Linked DNA regions of Lytechinus pictus. The protein of the gene in region 1 interacts with the protein of each later gene in a pairwise test. Links are inferred from orthologs where the notes say so. Each region holds a gene or a part of one and is shown on either strand. Other genes may lie near its edges.

The links.
Region 2: the proteins of peroxisomal membrane protein PEX13-like (region 1) and peroxisomal membrane protein PEX14-like interact in a two-hybrid assay, tested with the Homo sapiens proteins (2 studies listed by BioGRID and IntAct, with this or other methods). The link is inferred for Lytechinus pictus from reciprocal best matches to the Homo sapiens genes PEX13 and PEX14.

What each region holds. Positions count from the first base shown.
Region 1 is NC_087261.1:4,568,279-4,578,696, forward strand, and holds the start of peroxisomal membrane protein PEX13-like, read left to right. Parts: upstream 1-5,544; 5' UTR 5,545-5,639; coding exon 5,640-5,719; intron 5,720-10,418. UniProt on the Homo sapiens protein: Component of the PEX13-PEX14 docking complex, a translocon channel that specifically mediates the import of peroxisomal cargo proteins bound to PEX5 receptor.
Region 2 is NC_087258.1:9,819,287-9,828,998, reverse strand, and holds the start of peroxisomal membrane protein PEX14-like, read left to right. Parts: upstream 1-4,931; 5' UTR 4,932-5,002; coding exon 5,003-5,026; intron 5,027-9,688; coding exon 9,689-9,712. UniProt on the Homo sapiens protein: Component of the PEX13-PEX14 docking complex, a translocon channel that specifically mediates the import of peroxisomal cargo proteins bound to PEX5 receptor.

The DNA.
Region 1 (10,418 bases):
TTTCACAAAGAAACATTCAAACTTTTGGATTAAAGATACGAAAAAAAAAAATGGGCACCTGAATTGATTGTTAATAACTGGTATTCTAAAAACATAACATTTTTGTCGCTGTCCATCTTCTTAAATTAATAAAGCCAGCTATCAGTATCAGGGGAGCTTTCCATGAAGCGTTTTGTCTGATATTTACAAAGATGGATGTTATCAGCTACTGAATTTCTTTGCATCAGATTGGCTGTGGGAAAATTAGTCATTGGAATTCACTGACAATGCTCTTCATGAAAATGCTCCTCGGATTCCTTCCATTTTGTCAGATACAATTTATGATAGCTTTGTTTATCTCATATTTTATTTAAAGCATTTGTCTGGTTAGTAAGTTATTTTGTACCTATGTCAGTCTCTGAGCTCTATTTTCTGTTTATTCCCCATAATGTAATAAAGAAATACTGTAGTATGTATCAGAATGTTTTCACGTGTTTTGTCAATTTGTTTTCAACCATTACACTAGTCCCGAGGTGGGATTAGCCTCTAGGTGAGGGTTCTTGCTTACTTTCCTATTATTGAACTAAAGAAAATGACTGTCAATGAGTATGGCTGCCATAGAGACTATCATTGCGAGTTTATTTGCAAGAGTGTGGTCTCTAAATATGATATGATTGTCTGTCCTTTGCTTGTGAAGATGACCACAACTTCTTGTATCACAAATTTAGATGGAATATATCATATGACCATTGGCGGCGGAAGCCTGAAAATTTAGGGGGGACCACCAAATTTTTTTGACAAGCAAAAAAAAAAAAAAAGTTATCAACAAGAAATTTAGGGGGGATCGTCCCCCCACCTCAAATTTAGGGGGGGACGTCCCCCCCCCGCTTCTGCTGCCTATGCATGTGATGTATGGAAGACAGGCAGCAGAATGGTTTTGAAGGGGGGGGGAGGAGGGGTGGGGCTGACCATGATAGAAAGTCACGATCAGACGGTAATTTCATGTTTATGGAAGAGATGCTCTCATAATTATGTCACAATATTAAAAAAATTTAATAATTCTGTTTTTAAAATTTTCATCAAACCTTCAATTTTTTTATTGTGCTGCTGCATAAGACAGAATTTCGATATTGGGAAGTCTAAAATGTAATCATTTTTTCTGTATGAAATTATTCCATTTCTTTTAATATGGGGGGGGGGGGGGGTGCTCGTGAATTGATCGACAAGATTTCAGAGCCAGGGGCCCGATTCATAAAGGACTTGGAACTGTTGTAACTTTGCCATTATGGCAACCACCATGGAAACCTTGATTATGATTGGCTGCTGAGCCCTAGTTACCATGGTAGTTGCCATTATGGGATTTGGGGTGGCACGCTAGGGTCGGACAGGGTTAGGGAGGGGAAGGGAATTAAAGAAATATAGATAGGGAGAGAAAGAGAGTGAGAAACAGGTAGAAAGTAAGAATTAAGGGAGGGGGGATGCAAGCAGAGGAAAGACAGAGAGGGAGAGAGAAAGAGGGGGGGGGGGTCTAGAGCTAGCGGTAGCAGCTAGCTAGAGGGCCATTCTCCGAAAAGGGGCACCAAAGGACATTTTCGTGTCTCCAACTTTCTCTAGGCTATAAACCATAATTTAATTCATCAGGAAACCAATTTTTTGAATTTTATTTATACTACAGAATATGTTGAGTAGAATTAAAATCAACCGAGGTCACCCCACCTCATGAAAAAATTATATACGACAGCACAAAACATATATGTGCTCATTTTACCCATGTCTCCAGCGACCTGTGTGATTATATTTCATACTCCCGCTCTTTACCGTAATATCCGAACTTCATGTTTTGTCCACTAATTTATAATGCCTTCGGTGCCTAAATAAAAAAGCATATTGCTTAGCGAAAAAACTTTTGTATATTTTTTCCTGCGGTCTTAGCGAAGGTGTCTCCAAATCGGGATAAGATACGTTACTTTTTGTATGATACCCTAAAAAGAACGAAGACAATAATGCAGTGATCTGTATTTCGGTGTAGTGAATAAGTCCATTTCAAGGCTATATAAATACAAATAGTGTATACTGAATCTCTATAATAATGAATATATTCAGACACAAAGTTTTCAATTGTGTATGTTACCATAAGGTAAAATAAGATACGTTACTGAAACTTTGCTCTATTACAGAAAAATAACTTGGTTAACAAAGTTATAATGTATTTTGTTTTAGAGCACTCTACATTGCTTATGGTAATACATGGGAGTTATGAAAGAAAAGGTTGTTATTTTGTGAAAACACAAGGTTGATCCTAAAGGCCGTCAAATACGTTACCGTCAAATACGTTACCGCATTGCGCGTTGATAGGCCCATTCGCGCATTCTCTAATTTTGCACATGCTTTTAGCGCTTCTTCACCCTTCAAAGCATTGAGCGTTACGTGCTGAGAGTCTGAGGGAGATGTAAGGCTTCTCGCCGTTTGTTATTCATCCCAGCTACGTGGTTGGTAAGAATTTTCATTTTTTGAATATTGACAGAATATAGTTCATTTATCTGTTTGAGTACTATGATACATTTGAGAGTTATTTGAAGTTGATGGAACAGTTACATATAGGCTTAAGACATCTAACACGTATGCATGCGATTGTTTAGTGTGTGTGATAGCTCGCATGAACATTAGAATGTTACCAGATAGGCACGGTAACGTATCTTACCCGACTGGTAACGTATCTTATTAGATATTAATGTCATGTTTTTACGTACACGACGACTAACTATTTTATATTTATTTGTTATTAATTATAAAATAATGTACATATAAAAATCCCATGCTGATATTTTTCCTCTCTGTCTGTCTCTCGTTTATTTCAGAGAAAAAAAAGACATGGGTAAAACGCGTGCTGAGATCCGGAAAGTCAGAGAGAAAATCTGAGTTAACCATCGAACAGTTGACACTAATCGAAGATTTGGCCAAAAAATATAAAGAAGCACAAATTAAGTAAAAGGATCAATATTAGAATTTGCAGGTGACAAATATTTGGACAGCATTACTTGTATTTATGCACTTTCCATATCCTCCCATTTTTCGAACAATTTACAAAGAAAAGGAATCCTTTCCCTGTGATGCAAGAATGATGAAAATGGCATATTTTAATAAAAAAGGAAAATAATGACGTTATTAATTTTTTTTCGGAAAACATTTCTTTTTTTATGAGCAAGTTAATGATGTAATTCCCTTACAATTTTCTTCACATTTAATTTACAGAAATCCTTTAAAAAATCCATTTATCAAATATGATACAGTAAAGTTTTCCTATTCAACTAACCCCAAATTAAAACAAAATGAATGAGAGATGCTATTTGTTCTTAAATATTTGTTCTGACATATCTTAAAGGGGTATGGTTGCCTCAATGCTGGCAAAAACAATCCAAAATGTCATTTAAACGTGACAAATTATGAGGGGATGACATTAACAACTTGCTCATTAGAATATGTTTTCTGAAAATGTGAAATTTTGAAATATAATATTTTCCTTACTTGCTGTCGGTTGTTATCCGGTTTGTATTATCCTTCTTAAATCATGCTAATCATTTTTTTACCCGGCTTTTTGCTTTAATACGTGCCACATCATGTACAAGCGGCAACATAATGTTAATTGTCAACTGATATGTGGAAGGAGAATATTTCGATTCCGTAGTCTAGTTGTTTTGTCTTGGCTCTCTGAATGTACAAAAATATGAAAAAGTAGAATCCGTCAATATAGTGTAAGCTTTAATGTACCGAAATATTTGAGTGGATGATGAATCAGATGTGCTACAAAGACATTTTAATTACTTGAGAGTTGTGTCTGCTACGTTACCACCACTATCTACCGTATAGCTCCTTGGCTCTCTTTAAATTTTAAAAACAAATTTTATGACAGAACATGTGGAAACACATTAATTTATACAAATCTTTTTATAACTATTCAGCGTGATTAATTGTTAAGAATGAGATCTTTTATACAATTTAAGAAGGTTCTTTTTTTAGGAGCAGAGCCGAAACACCAAGTATAGCCCAAGTGAAATAACATTGTACTTATAAGTTTAAATTATCAACAGTCAAATACGTTACCCTACGTTGCAGTTATATATTCGTCTAAACACTCGGATGTAATCAAATTTATCATGTTTTTCCAAACTGCATGATGTTACATATTTCATTAAAAGTTAACAAAGCTACATAATAGACTGTACACATTAGAAATCAAAAGCTTTGGTCATATATTTGAAACAGTATTATAATTATGTCTTAGGTTAATTTTGTCTGTGTTTGTTTATCGATGCATAATTTTATTTACTGAACTATGTCAAGGTGATCATCATAAATAATCATTATGTTCGAGGTGGATATAACATTTTGATGTAAGACAAAATGCAAGAGTGAGTTTACGCATGTTACTATTATAAGTCACAGTAACAACATTTTGTAGTATAGATGTCTGTAAGATACGTTACCATATTGACATATTACAGTTATATATTTGCCTTGCACTCGCAGGTAATAAATTTGATGATATTGTTCCATCTTAATAGTGTTAGATATCTTATCAATGAGTTTATAGAAGGAAATGGACTAAGTACGTTGTGCACTTTAAATCAAAAGTTTAGCTCATACATTTCAAACAGAACATAATTATGTAATTGCGTCACAGTAACAATATTTTGTAGTATAGATGTCTGTAAGATACGTTACCATATTGACATATTACAGTTATATATTTGCATGCACGTATATATGCTATAGATGAATACATGACTTTGCATTACTGAGTAGTGTTTTTTAATCGGGATTATAAATCTGAATGTTCGTAGTTGATAATTCGTTTGGATGTAAAATATATTGCACGATTGAGTTTATCGTTATCTTGAGATATAAACCACAGTAAACGAAATTTTGTGGAAGTATGTCAGATACGTTACCAATTTTCTCTTTTCTTGTAATTCAGAATGTATAAAATCTGTAGTAAAGTGTGCTTACAATGAAATTTCTTTAATAATTTCAGTATTTATGTATGATTTTTATTAATGTTTCAAAGCAATATAAGATCAAATTGTATTAGAGATATGAATTGCAATTTAGGTAATGTATTTTATCTGAAAATATACTATTTTTTTCGGGCTGATTTTGACTTACAGACTTATAACATTTATCATTTTGATACATCTCGACCAATCAAATGTCAAGAATTACTTTTTAATCATGTGTGTATATTAGTTACGTTTACTTTGAAATATTTACTGATACTATTGGTCCACAAATGATACATCCACAGCGATTTTTCTTGTCTAAGGCCTAATGGTAACGTATCTGACGGGTGGTAAAAACTATGTAAAAAGGTGTTCAAGTTCAATGCTATTTCTTGAAAAATATGTTGGGGTCAAAAATCACCCGTTTGTTGTTATGTGTTCTCGAAGTATTAAAGTTTCTGAATTCAAATGAGTTTAATTAATTTTCGTATGTCAAAATTTGAAAGTTTGTCCAATCCTATTGGTGCACTTTTGTGGAGAATGTACCTAGAGGGGGGGGGGGGGGGGAGATCGAGAGCTAGATATATAAGATCGAGGCCATGACCCGTCGCGTCATGACGTAATACAAATTCTAACTAGCAGATTTTAATAGCAGATTTAGCAATGGCCGCTCCGCCGAAACCATGGGAGAAAAGAGGCTCAATAAATCCTTCTTTAGGATATCCAGCCGACCAAGCAATGCTGTAAGTGGTTCTTTATTTTATTTCACTTTTATAGTATTAATAACAAAGTCTATTTCATGGTCGTTATTGGTCAGAGATGGATTTATGTGGCACCGAAGTGAATTCTCGCTGCAAAGCTCTGTGTAGTCCGATGCGTAGTGATTCATGTATCGAGTGATCAAGGAGTCCTTGACTTGAGTCTGACTCCGCCCATATTAGCCAGGCGGCTTCTTGAGAGTAAAAATAATTTATTAACGTACTACGTAGGCTTACTCTAAACGAAGCCAGGGAGTCCTACCTATTCATCTGCGTGTACCGCAAAAAACCCTGAAACTTTCGCCCCCGAGATTTCTACTTTCCTTCTATTTTGTTCTAAAAGTAAACTAAAACTAAAACTAAAAAAAGATCTAGCTCTGCCTTAACCCAGAGAGCTCCCGCCCACGCAGCGGGCGGGAGCCCAGAAGCTCACCGTGTATTTTACCATTTTCACCGGACTAGGGTGATTTATGGTCTAAATATTTCTCCAAATGAATTGTGAAAACGGAAAGTATACAATTACCACGATTATATGGATGAAGGTCTAACGAGTGGCAGATTCCTGACATCTGGGCACAGTCTGGAACCTCAAAAAAACGAAAAGTTCTCTCCTTCTACCCAGTCTCGATCGGCCATTTTGTTACGATTTTTAACGAAAATGGCCGATCGAGACGGGGTAGAAGGAGAGAACTTTTCGTTTTTTTGGGGTTCCAGACTGTGCCCAGATGTCAGGAATCTGCCACTCGTTAGACCTTCATCCATATAATCGTGGTAATTGTATACTTTCTGTTTTCACAATTCATTTGGAGAAATATTTAGACCATAAATCACCCTAGTCCGGTGACAATGGTAAAATACACGGTAAGCTTCTGGGCTCCCGCCCGCTGTGCGGGCGGGAGCTCTCTGGGTTAGCTCTGCCTCTGAGTCTGATGTACATGGGATAAAACTTCATTTCCGACATTTATACGCTCTCGTTATTTTTAAACAAGAATTCATCAAAAAAATGAGAAAATATTGTGAAAAGACAGAAGAGACTTGCCCGATGTTTACGCCGCCATCTTGTTTCTTATTGTAATTCCCCAACGTTACGGACGCGAGCGTCGCGTCCGTGGATTAAAGTGATCATTTCACTTTGTTCTGATTTAAAAAATTCTCATTTTGGTTCTTGAAAATGGGCTTAACATTAGGCTTATAGTGTAAAAATACCATCCCAAAAGTTTCAAAGTCATGAAAGTATTATATCCACAGGATCAATTTTAAAACCTTAAAGATGTAAACCAAAGTTTGAAAATAATTGGGAGTTGGTTTCAATAACTATGACATGTGTATACAGTGAACCTGTGCACCACAACACACGAACTCTAGATGAACACAGCATGGCCTACATACAGTGTGTACTAGGTATACACTGAATGTTCAGTGCAGCTAATAGCGTGTGTGTGTAAATAGGAGATACACACAACAGAAGGCAGTCAAAATAGCCAACGGACTTTTTGAATTGGAGTAAACTGGTCATAAGCTTAACCTGTCTACTAGACGGTTCTCAAAATCAAGCTAATAAATTGCTACTTGTATCTAAATTAGAGTTTTTCATTCTATATTGTGGTTTGTTTCAGGGTTTTTGGGGACAAATACATGCACTCATACACATGTTTTGTCTCAGTTTGAGAATTTTGTAAATCAGCTGCTCACAAAGTTAAACAATCCCTTTAACCGCACCCCCAACTTTGGACTAAAAAAAAAAAAAAAAAAAAACTAAGTTAAAGATTTCAAAGTATCCAAAGAGATTACCGGTATGCGGAAATCTGCTGTTCTTGATCAATTCATCTACAAATGTTTGCAAGAAAGAAAGGTCCCGACAATATTGGCCACTTACACACTCACTCACCTCACAGTCACAGTGTACACACACACAGCACTGCTGTTCTTGTACATTGCAAACTACGATACGGTACCAGTACATCTTATCAAATAATGATCTGTGTCTTTCCCGCCGTAGGAGGAAGAAATATTCACATTTCTTGCATCACAAACTCACAATCACTTTCAGAATTTGTCTAGCATTCGATGTCTTAGCATGAATTTTGGATACGGGATTACTGGAAGGAAGGTTCAAGAACAAAGAAATTGGCATTTTTTACAGTTGTTTTGACGGCTTCGTGCCGTCTCTCTCGTTGCGTGGTGTACATGCTATCTTATGAAAAGCAAACGGGAAAGAAAAAATAAGCTGGCGCGAAACAGGACTTTAGAGGGGATCGAGGGTTAAAATGAATAGCGCCAGCTTAAGTCGCACTATTACCACAATACAACGCAAGCTAGCTCAGCTAACTCAACTCTCGCGCTCGCTCAGCTGTGACAAAATATTACCGAGTATGCTTGGCTTCTCTTTGAACTTAGCCAGGGAACTTCGCTGCTTTGAACCGAGAATAAAAGTCGAAATGAGTGTTATGAAGGTGGGTGCGTTTAATAATCGCTTCTTATTACCCGTGGCTCATACCCCTCTATCCCGCCGAGAAAAACGTACGGTTAATAGACCGTTACTTACGGTATGTATTGGTGAGTGAGCCAACGCAGTTCAGCGGAACAACCATAATACAGAGACTGAAGCTTTTGGTCTAATTACGAGCATGCATGATTCATTGACCCGTACGTATTCTGAACTCTGGTTTAAATTAAACCCTAGTTTAAAGTTGTATTCTGAACCCGGGTTTAAATTAAACCCTGGTTTAAAGTTGTGGTGTAACTATGGAGAGCTAGTACTAGTTGCAGCACAAATCCCTAACAATTACAATACACATCCAATTTATTAACTCACTCATAATGACATCCATATTGTTCATAATTGTCTGGAAATGATAACTGAACTCTGAAGAGGAGTGAAGTATTTCAAAGTATTATTATGAAAGCAAAGCCAAAAGGAAACAAAATAGTAAATCATGTAATTGTAAGTCGTAAGCAATAGATCTATACATGAACATATTTTTGGCTCCCCGTAATTTCAGCACAGAGTTAGACCGCGGTCTAAGCATTAGGAGAAGATTGCCTATGATTTTGAGTGATTTTCGATTCTCGTGTGTGTTCTCATGGAATTTTTTGCTGTCTACGATACCCTGGCCCTGCCACTCATTTAATGAACAAGGTTATGATATAACATTGTTCTCAGTTACATCCACTCATTCAATGAACAAGGTTATGATATAATGGTTACATCTCCATGTGTGGCAAAATAAGGGTGGCAATTTTGGCTTATTTTCTCTTTTTCTATGGGACAAATGCTTGATTTTCTTACACTGTCAGTTTCCAATACAGCTATTCATCATAACTTGGCTCTTATATAAATTTGAATCTTTAAATTATTTTTTCTTAATTAAAAATAGAGATTGAAAAATGAATTTTTTTTTGCCATATTACTTGCCACTGTGGGGTTGAAAATAATACAAGTCTTAAGGGGGAAATAAATGTTTAACTGAAGAAGGGAATAACACAAGCTCTATCATACATCAAACAGAAGCAAACGGAGAGGAGAAGATGGAACTTAATTATGAAGACACAGGAACAAATTGAACTTAACTCGATGAAGTCTGGTAGTGCACTGCTTTATTTGCTGGGCTTCCTTGCCTCAGTAAAACTCATAATTGCATTACAAAATTAGCATATATATTTAAATTAAGCCTGAGTCATATCGATTATTTTGAAAACCGGTATTCGACAGCTTTAATTCGATCGAACATCGATGAATCGAATTTTGAAGGCGCGGCGGGGAAAATCGAGTCCATATTTTTTTTGCTCCGGCCGTCGCGTCAATGCGCTATGCACGCATTGCATGCACTGACGGTATGCGCTGGCTGGGTGAGCGTTGCACAAGCAGATGACAGAGCAAAGTTCGTTTGTATTTTCCATGATCACAAAACACAAAAAAGCCGAGGACCAATGCAAAATTCTTCCCAAAATATCATCAACAATGATATTTGCAGATGACAATATATAAGTTTAAAATGAAACAATATCAAAGAAATGAATCACGCAGAGTCGATCCAAACGATTTTTCGGTCAACTAGCATTCGCGGTCCAGACTCGCACACACCAGCCCCGCCCGCAGCCCCGGCCAGAGCCAGCGCCAGCAAAAAAGTGCAACCAGCGGGAGCACTGTAACTTGCCTGAGATTGTGTAGTTATAGATCCAAAATGAGCTCCAAATTGACGGGAATAAATACGTAATTTTCTCTGGATGGTCATTTGAATCGGTATTCAATGCTGATATAACGATTGTGAGGAAATATTGTGGAATATGAATAATGACAATGTTCGAGAATTAATCCTGTTATGATAATCCATATTTTCTTAAGTTTAGACACAAGACAAGATCAGAGCATGCGATCGAAATAAATATGTCTCGGATCGAGCACTAAATTCATATTAATTATTATTGGATGTTAAATAATTACGATTTAATAAGATTTTATGGCCATACAATGTCAGCAAAGCATGTCATGTTCATATGGAAGTATTTATAGTATTATACTGGCATTATTTTTTATTTTTATTCCATCTCTGGCCCTAGCTAGCTCCGAGAAAAAGAAGCACAATGCGCATGGGCGTTCGTTGACGTAGGACATATTTTCCATTCATGAAAATCAGAGCCCGAAGTTGGGCAAAAATTAGCTTCAAATTGATGGAAAAAAATA
Region 2 (9,712 bases), on another chromosome or scaffold:
AGGCTTATGAGATTATTTCATGTTTATGTTGTTCTATAAGAATAAAACTAAGAAGTGACTGATCGGGGGAAATATAGCTGAAGATAATTTCGGGCCCCGTCCCCTATTGGCGAAAGTCGGATCCGCCCTTGTGACTCATACATACACAACGGAAAAAATGGTGCCCCCCCCCCTGAAAAAGCAAGGACCCCCCAGTGCCCCCCAGGAAAAAAATCCTAGCTACGCCACTGGATGTACACCCCCGGCCCTCCGAATTCTCAGAGATCAATAAAGCAGGTTCATTAATTCCATTATACTTTGAAATTAACATGTCACGGATAAACTGATAAAAGCTCGAAGCGCAAGGACAAACATTATTTTGATGTATAGGCCTATGTATTGACCTGAAAGTTGAAAATGCATGGCATTTGATTTTTTATTAGCACCGTTTAATTCTGAACGGGATTAGGCCCTATTTCATTAAACAGCCAATATCGAGCGCCATAAGACAGTGATGAACGGTATAGGTCCTGAGCAAATTATTTTCATGAAATTACATAAATATATATGTCTTATATTTCCTTATTTAGTTTCCCATCATGTTTCTTTGTATTTCTCCCTCCCCGTTTTTTAGTAAATGGGGGGAGGGTAGGAGGGCAAGTACCCCCGAGCTCCACTGGGTGAGTATAATCAGGTCAATTATGAGAATCACTGAGTCGTCATCATTGAGCTTAAAACTTTGAATAAGAAATTTATACAGAATGGATATACCACGCATATAGCCTGTAAAAATGAAAGAGCCACGATAAAACAATTAATAAATTAACATTTCAAAATAAACAATCGTAAATCTGTTTCCCCGCCGCCGCCGCCGCCCCCTAAAAAATATCGAGTTCCAAGTGGGAAAGGGGATAGCCACTTGGTCTTATAAGCCTGTTAGCCGGGCTGCATGAATTCAACGTAAATCTGCAAATTATGAAGTTGAAGCTATAGAATAATGCAATAAAATGACTTAACAAAATGATAAACATTCTTCTAAAGCTCTATATACAATTCCTCAAATTCAATTATGTTAAGATTTTGTGGATGCAACTTCTCACCAGTTTAGTCGACAGGATGCATGAATTGGAAAACCTCGCCGAGCTTTTATTTGGCCCAACTTTCCTACGTTCTTCATCGCCATCTGTGGCATAATCTCATCCTCTTGAAGGGACAGTAGGCGACGAGAAATGCCAGGCCTACTCCTCTTCTCGATGAACCTTTCAGCGACATCTTCCCGCAGCTGTGGATTAGAATCATGAAGATATGAGTCGTCGATTTCCATGCGTTTCATAAAATCTCGTCCGAGTAGATCATCGACGTCGATTTCGTCACCCGCATCTTGGTCACCCACGTCATGGTTTTGAAGAGCCATCTCAGGATGTATTCGAAGGCTTGCCTTTTTATCCTTGCCGTTGTAATACGAAGATTTTTCCCACCCTGTACGTTCATCGACAGAGTGAACACGGCTGTCATCAAGTTCCATTTGCCGCAGGAAATCTTCATCAAGTTCGGTTGCGACGTCTTCCTTGGATGGCACCTTGGCGGGATTGTCCTTCCGAGTGGCGCCGTGAGGATGCATGATACGCTGGCCCATTTCCTCTGGAGGTCGTTCTGACTTTGAAGATGGGTGGAACTGTTGATCTGCAGTCTTGCCTTGGTGCATGGCGCTGTCATCAAATGCAAATTGCTGAAATACGTCCTTTCCCATCAGCGAAAATAAATCGGAATCAATGATGGCTGGATCTTCAAAAGTTTCATCTTCGGCTTGAACTCCTTGTACACCAGGCTTAATCGGATGCATGTCAACGACGTCGATTCCCCGTTGTGGTCTTGAAGATTTATTGATGTTTGAGGGATCGTGCATCTCTGAATCATCCAACTCCATACGCCGCATGAATCCTTCGTCAAGAAATTGGGAGATGTCGCCGATATCAGCATCACCGCTCTCAGCATTACCGCCTTTGGGTAAGGAATCCTTTTGTGGTATAGGCGCCCTTGGATGCATCCCATCTAGGTCGTCAGCATTTTGTGGTCGTAAAGATTTCTTGATGTTTGGCTGATCGTGCATCTCTGAATCATCCAGTTCTATACGTCGCATCAAACCTTCGTCAAGATATTGGGAGATCTCACCGATGTCATCGTCCCCATTTTCATCATCACCGCCTTTGGGCGAGGAAATGGAGGGTTCCTTTCGTGATGAAGACGCGGGCCTTCGATGCATCCCATCTAGGTCATATCCATTTTGTGGTCGTAAAGATTTCTTGATGTTTGGCGGATCGTGCATCTCTGAATCGTCCAGTTCCATTCGCCGCATAAAACCTTCGTCAAGGAATTGGGATATCTCACCGATGCCGGCGTCACCATCTTCAACACGAGGTCGTTTGCTATTGGCATCCTTTTGTGTTGTAGATGCTCGTTTGTACATCCTTTTGGGATGCATCAACGCTTCCTCCATTTCCGCTGATTTCTTAAACCTAGAGTTCTTTCCATGTTGTACATTAACAGAGAGTACAGTACAGAAGAGACATAGAAAAACTGTTAGTCTTGTGATCTTCTTGAACTCCATTTTGATATACCTTTCAGTCAGTGTGGTTGAACTGATGAATGTATCATCGACTGTATACACTTACTTACAACCACGTCACTGTGAAATTGCTTATATCAATAAATTAAGATGCATTTCCCGGTGTTTATTTTTTGTTTGGTCCAAAGATGTATAGACTTTAGAACTAAGATAGATAGCGAGATTTAAACAATTTGGCAAGATAATGATAACCCCTATACAACAAAACATGAACTCGTATTGTTTTATTAAGTATGATAATCTGAATTTGATATGTGCAAACAAATCTAATACAATGAATTATCATACATGAATTCAATCTTTGTCAATATAAATGTAATGTACCCACACCCCATGCCGTATACACACTAAAAATGTTGGGCAACATATTGTCCACTGTTTTGGGTAATGTATGTTGGTAAAAAATATAATATATATATATTCTGGGCAATTATTATCCAATTGAGAAAATTTATTACCCAATTTGGACAGATTTTAACCAATAGTTGTATGGAAAGTATGTTGCCCAGTGATGGTTGAAAATTGGGCCTTTTTGTCCAACCTGTTTAAGAGTGTAGGGTAGATAAAATAGTAAAATCTTATCAATAGGCTTTAAAAATGTAATGAATTTGCTGCAGAATGATGTTCATAAAAATACGGGGGTATAAAGCAGGTAATTTAAAGGGGAAATTTACCCTGACGAAAAGTTTGTTGTAAAAATAGCATAAAAATAATAAAAAAATATTGGTAAAGGTTTGAGGAAAATCCATTAAAAATTAAGAAAGTTGAGTTATTAAAATGTGAAGGTTTTTAATTTATGACGTCATAAACGAGCAGCTGCCCCATTATGTTTTGTAATATAAAATGCATAAAAGTCCTGTTTAATTGTTCATGACGACTAATTTTTCTTTTTTTTTAGGAGCGCGTTTGAAATAATTTGTGTATTGATATACTGATGGTGCAATAAAAGCCATTTTCAATTTTCTGAGAAAATGACATTTCATTGACTTTTTACCATGCAATATGCAGGGAAGCTGCTCGCATAATGACGCCTTCACAAATCAAATGATTAAAATTCTAATAACTTTTGGGGGGCAAGAGCCAAAAATTTCAAATTATGGTATGAACTAGCCTATAATCTAGGCGGAGGCTGCATTTATTGTCTTTGCTGTTATGCTGAACGTAAGCGATACGTCTGGTCTGGCGAAGACTACGCATTGTGGTTGCGTATGAACAGGATTTTTTATGATTCTGCCGGCCCGAGCAATGGTAATTCTTGATATCAAGAAATCGAATTCTTGATATAAAGAAATGAATTCTTGATATCAAGAAATAGGCTTAAATGTTAAAACGGCTTGCCATAAGGGCGAAGCTCAATGTGTGATAAGTACAAAGAGAGAGGGGGCCCGGGGGGGGGGGGGGGCAACGTGGCGCGCACAGATAAAAAGTTGCTTAATATAAGTCCCGAGAAAGCGAAGCGAGCGAGAAAAAAAATCATCTTTTCATGAGAATCTAACTTTGAGATTGATTTTGACATGGTATTCAGAAAAAACATGATCTCTTATAGGTTTGCATGGTGGATAACGTGGAGAAGGTTTACGATCCACCATGTGTAATTTGAAGAAGGGAAGGAAACTCAGGCAGAAAGATTGAAATGGAAAGACGAGATATAGGATGAAAAGAGAAAATTAGAAGTATATTCTTTTCTTGAAAGTGAGTGAAGTCCTGAAAAGGAGTCTGGGGACCGTTTCATGAAAGTTGTCAGCACTGAAAAGTTGTCTTTCTCTGACAGTTACTATAGTAACAGTCAGAGACTAGTGCCTTTCAGCCAATCAAAACCAAGGATTCACTGAAATCATTAGTCAGCACTGACAAATTAGTCAGTGCTGACAACTTTCATGAAACACCCACCTGATGTAAACCAAATGAGATGAGCTGAATATGGCTTGAGTAGTAGCAGGTAGCAGGTAGTAGGTTTACATGAATAAATGCATAGAACTGATTCACCGAAATAATGCAAAAACTTTGAAATATCATAACTTTGTCTTTGTTATTCCTTGATGAAACTTTCAGTGATTGTTCGTCTTATTTTACTTTATCTATTCAAAACATTTCTTGTCAGTCTGGTGGAGTACCCCTTTAATTGTTATTAGGCCTACTCTGGGGCCTACCGACGCCCATCAGCGGGCCTTCCCTGGATTCTTTTTTTTTTTGGGGGGGGTTGCTTTGTAATATTTTGTAATATAGCTATTCCAATAACCTAATTATATTTATTTTATTTAGACCTTTTTTTGTGTGATCAATCTGGCTTCTCATGCATGCATCTGCTGCCCTCATCGATTAAAGTTTGTATAACTTATGCGATAGCTGTGCAGTGAACAAAAAGAAGGACCAATACGCCTCCTGTTTTCCAACAAAATGTCGACAAAGACAGACGCAGAGGTAATTTAAGAAAGTAGTGGTATTTGTATTATTATGATATACTGTATTAAGATTTTCAGTAAATGATGCTATACTCTAGGTGTATTCTATAACCGAGGGTATTTGAGCGCTTGCTCGCGCGGCCCAAGTCGAACTCGGACCTCGTTTACGCCAACGGTAATGCATAGCCTTTGCACCGGGGAACTCTGGCCGGGGACGAAATGCAGATCCGTTTCTGCTGCTGCTTTTATATTTGCGGCCGGACCGTATTGAGGAGAGATTCAGACTCTAGACTCAGAGTCAGAGGAGGGGCGAGTGCTCGATCAAGGACAGGAGCTTAGCCTTAGGCAATTCAGCTCTTCGACTTGAGATAAAACTTTAGTGCTCCAGACTCTGCCTTTTGTGAATGTTTGTACATCGGATCGGCAGTTATTGAGTTAAGCTTCTAAAGTCGAAATCGAATCAGCGATGTTTAAAAACAAAGGAATACATTAAATTCAAAATTTTGTTCGCGGTCGCACGCATCTTCCTGACAAAGTCACAAAGACGAATGCATTGGAATGGAAGTCACCAACATGCGCGATTGTTTGGAACATGGGCATAATCGTGATATAGTCCCCAAATCCAAAAATAGGGATTATTAGATTCGCACAGCTCAAGAACTTGCGAAATGATAACACACGCAAATGAAACACACTTACACTTGGGTTCTCTCCCTATTATATACTCGTGATACAGTCCCCACTCTCAGACTCTGCGGGAAATCAAGTTTGATTTTCACGGCGGTGGGGACAGTTTCAACAGTATAGTATACTCGTGATGCAGTCCCCGCGCTATGGGATACACAGTTCATTTGGCACGCAGTGGGGATAGCTCCAACAGTATATTATACTCGTGATACCGTCCCCTCACAACATAAAATCGTGCTCGTTCGACAAGGGGATGGGGACAGTTTCCCAGTGCAACGTGACAAGGAAGACTCATTCAAAATCTTCGGGAATTATTATTATTATTGTCATCATCATATTATATTATCATTATTATCATTTTATCATTATTATTTTATCATTATTATTTTATCATAATTATTTTTATTGTTATTTAATCATAGTTATCATTATTGTTATCATTATTATTGTTATTTAATCGCAATTATTGTTATTATTTATTTTATTATTACTATCATCATCATACATCATTATTATTCTTTATCATTGTTATTATTATTGTTATACTTTATTATATTATTGTTTTTTTTATTATTATTTTTATTATCAATATTTTGTTATCATTATTAATATAATTATTTTTATAGATATCATCATATATCATTATTATTCTTTATTATTGTTGTTGTTATTATGGTTATTATTCTTTATTATATTATTATTATAATCATCATCATTAATCATTATTCTTTATTATTGTTGTTATTAATATTGTTATTATACCTTATTGTATTATTATTGCTGTTGTTATTATTATTGTTATTTTTATTATATTATTATTAATATCATCATAATAAATATTATTCTTTATTGTTGTTGTTATTATTATCATCATAATAGTGATAATAGTATAATAAATTATTATATTATTATTATCATTATTATTCTTTATCATTGGTATTGTGCCCCTTCCATCCAGTCCGTTCCTTGTATTTCATTTAATTCCTTCAAATGAAATCACTGTAGACTCATTCATAACTTTTGGGTATTATCGTAATTATTATCATTATTGTCATTATTTTTTATGGTATTTATTTTTTTTTACTTAATATTGTTATCCTTATTTTTTGTTCAATTCAATTCAATGTTTTATTCAATTCCAATAAAAATCAATACAGAGTATAGAATACAGTAATAACAAATACAATGGGCAATAATAAGGCAAGAAAATATAAGGTACATGTAAAACAAGTATTAAACAGATACAAATGACAATAGAGAGATACAATATTGGAATTAGGTGGTCATGGATTGAAGGAACAGAATGGATGGAAGGGGCACATTTTCAATGATAAAGAATAATAATAATAATGATAATATAATAATTTATAATATTATCATCATTATTATAATAATAATAATAACAACAATAATAAAAACATTATTTACATTGTTAACATTATTTATCTTTTATTTATTATTTTTATGATAATTATTGTTATTGTTATTATTCTCTATTATTACCATTATATTAACCTTTATCATAATTATTATCAACATCATTATTGTTATTAATCTTTATTATCATCATCCCCATCATTATACTATTGTTGTTATCATTACTTTACTTTTCATTTCCGTCACATATTTGTATTGATTACTTTAATGTTTTGGGGTGACTCTTTCAATAATAACAACAACAATAATGAAAATGATGCCAATGATGATAATAATTATGATAATAATTAATACCCAAACGTTATTATGAGTCTACAGTGATTTCATTTGTAGGAATTAAATGAAATACAAGGAACAGAATGGATGGAAGGGGCACATTTTCAATGATAAAGAATAATAATGATAATATAATAATTTATAATATTATCATCATTATTATAATAATAATAATAACAACAACAATAATAAAAAATAATAATGATATATGATGATGATAGTAATAATAATAATGATATTAATAATGATAATAATAATAATGATAATAGCAATAATAATAATGATAATTATGATTAAATAACAATAATAATGATAATAACAATAATAATAATGATAATTATGTTTAAATAACAATAATATTGATAATAACAATAATAATGATGATAATTTTGATTAAATAACCATAATAATATAATGATAAAATGATAATAATGATAATATAATATGATAATGACAATAATTCCCGAAGGTTTTGAATGAGTCTTCCTTGTCACGTTGCACTGGGAAACTGTCCCCATCCCCTTGTCGAACGAGCACGATTTTATGTTGTGAGGGGACGGTATCACGAGTATAATGTACTGTTGGAGCTATCCCCACTGCGTGCAAAGTGAACTTGATTTCCCATAGAGTGGGGACTGTATCACGAGTATATAATAGGGAGAGAATCCAAGTGTACGTGTAAGTGTGTTTCATTTGTGTGTGTTATCATTTCGCAAGTTCTCGAGCTGTGCGAGAGTTGGGGACTGTGTTCTGGAGAAAGGAAGTGATTTTCATGCGTTCTGGTAGGTGTGATTCTAATAATCCCCATTTTGGGATTTGGGGACTATATCACGATTATGCCGGAACATGTTTTAAAAGGGTTTTGAGGTGTGTACTGCTTTTTTGCTTGAATTGTTAATTGATGACATAGCCTGTCAGCCTCTATGGAATAACCCTCAAATGAAAATAAATAACAAACCAATCTATTTCAGGGCTTGGGATTTACGAGGAATACATTTTGTTAATGACATTCTTAGAACAGATGGTACCTTCTTTCCATACTTTGAATTTCAACATGCGTATGGTATACAAACCAATTTTCTACAGTATTACGGTCTTTGTGACGCAATTAGTTCTGGTTTTCCCACAGATTCACATATAATTACTAAATCTATTGAACCAATCATTCCTGAAGCTTTGCAACTTGTTGTGAAAACACGCGTAGGTTGCTCAAATATATATCGCTCTTTTTTTCACTTTGAAGTTAAAGAATGTAAGGCTCTTGTCAGCTGGAAAGGTCTGTTAGGTTTTTGAGATGACCTTTGGGTTGCTTTTTGTTTGATCCCTTTTCAGGCAACAATGGATATAAACATAGGTGGTTTACAATTTTAGATAAAATATTGTATATGAAAGATTCTCTGTTGAAATGTGGTATAGTAACAAATACGAAATGTACTTTTTGTATTGATAATGATGAAACAATTATGCATATATTTTGCCTTTGTACTCATTCTAATGTAATATGGTCGAGAATAGAATCATGGATATTTCAAAATACTCGAGAGGTGATCGTATTAACGAATGAAAACACATTGTTTGGATTTTGTGGTACAAATAATAATGCTCTAACTGTGTCATGATGGTAAGAAAAGAGATATATTTAGCCAAATTGAGAAAAGAGTTACCTTCATTTACCACAATTATGTCAGCTTTAAAACTTTATTATGAAATGGAAAAATATATTTATGAAAAAAATATCAGAGCAAATAAGTTCAGAAAGAAATGGTCTTGTTTCAGAAACTTTATCGAACAAGCTGGCAATCTGTCACATTAACAAACATACTTATTACCAATTATGTTTAAATTTCTTAGATATATGTATCAGATCTCTTATTTTTCTTGCCAAATTTGCTTTGGCTGTGACAACTCATTGATTGTATAATAAGTCAGTTTGACTATATGTCTATGTATTAGGAATTATATATATATACCATGTTTATTTACTGTTTGAAAAAATTGTAAATGTTTATACAGTGTAATTATGCTTTTTGAAAATAAAGAACCCTGTGGAAGGGGAAAAAAAGAAGAAAAAAATGCTTAAGAACATCCATTTGGGTGAACTTTAAAACTCTATGGCAAAAAATCAAGCACATGGACCCATATTAATTTTTGCATAATTGGAATATTCAGGTGCTAAAGTATCAATGTGCAAAGTTTGGTGAAAATGACATGGATTTCACTTTAACTGTGGAACGTCCTTAAACGTTTTGACATTGTGTAAATATTCTTTGTCTATATGCAGGGCTCTGCAGGGAATACTGCTATA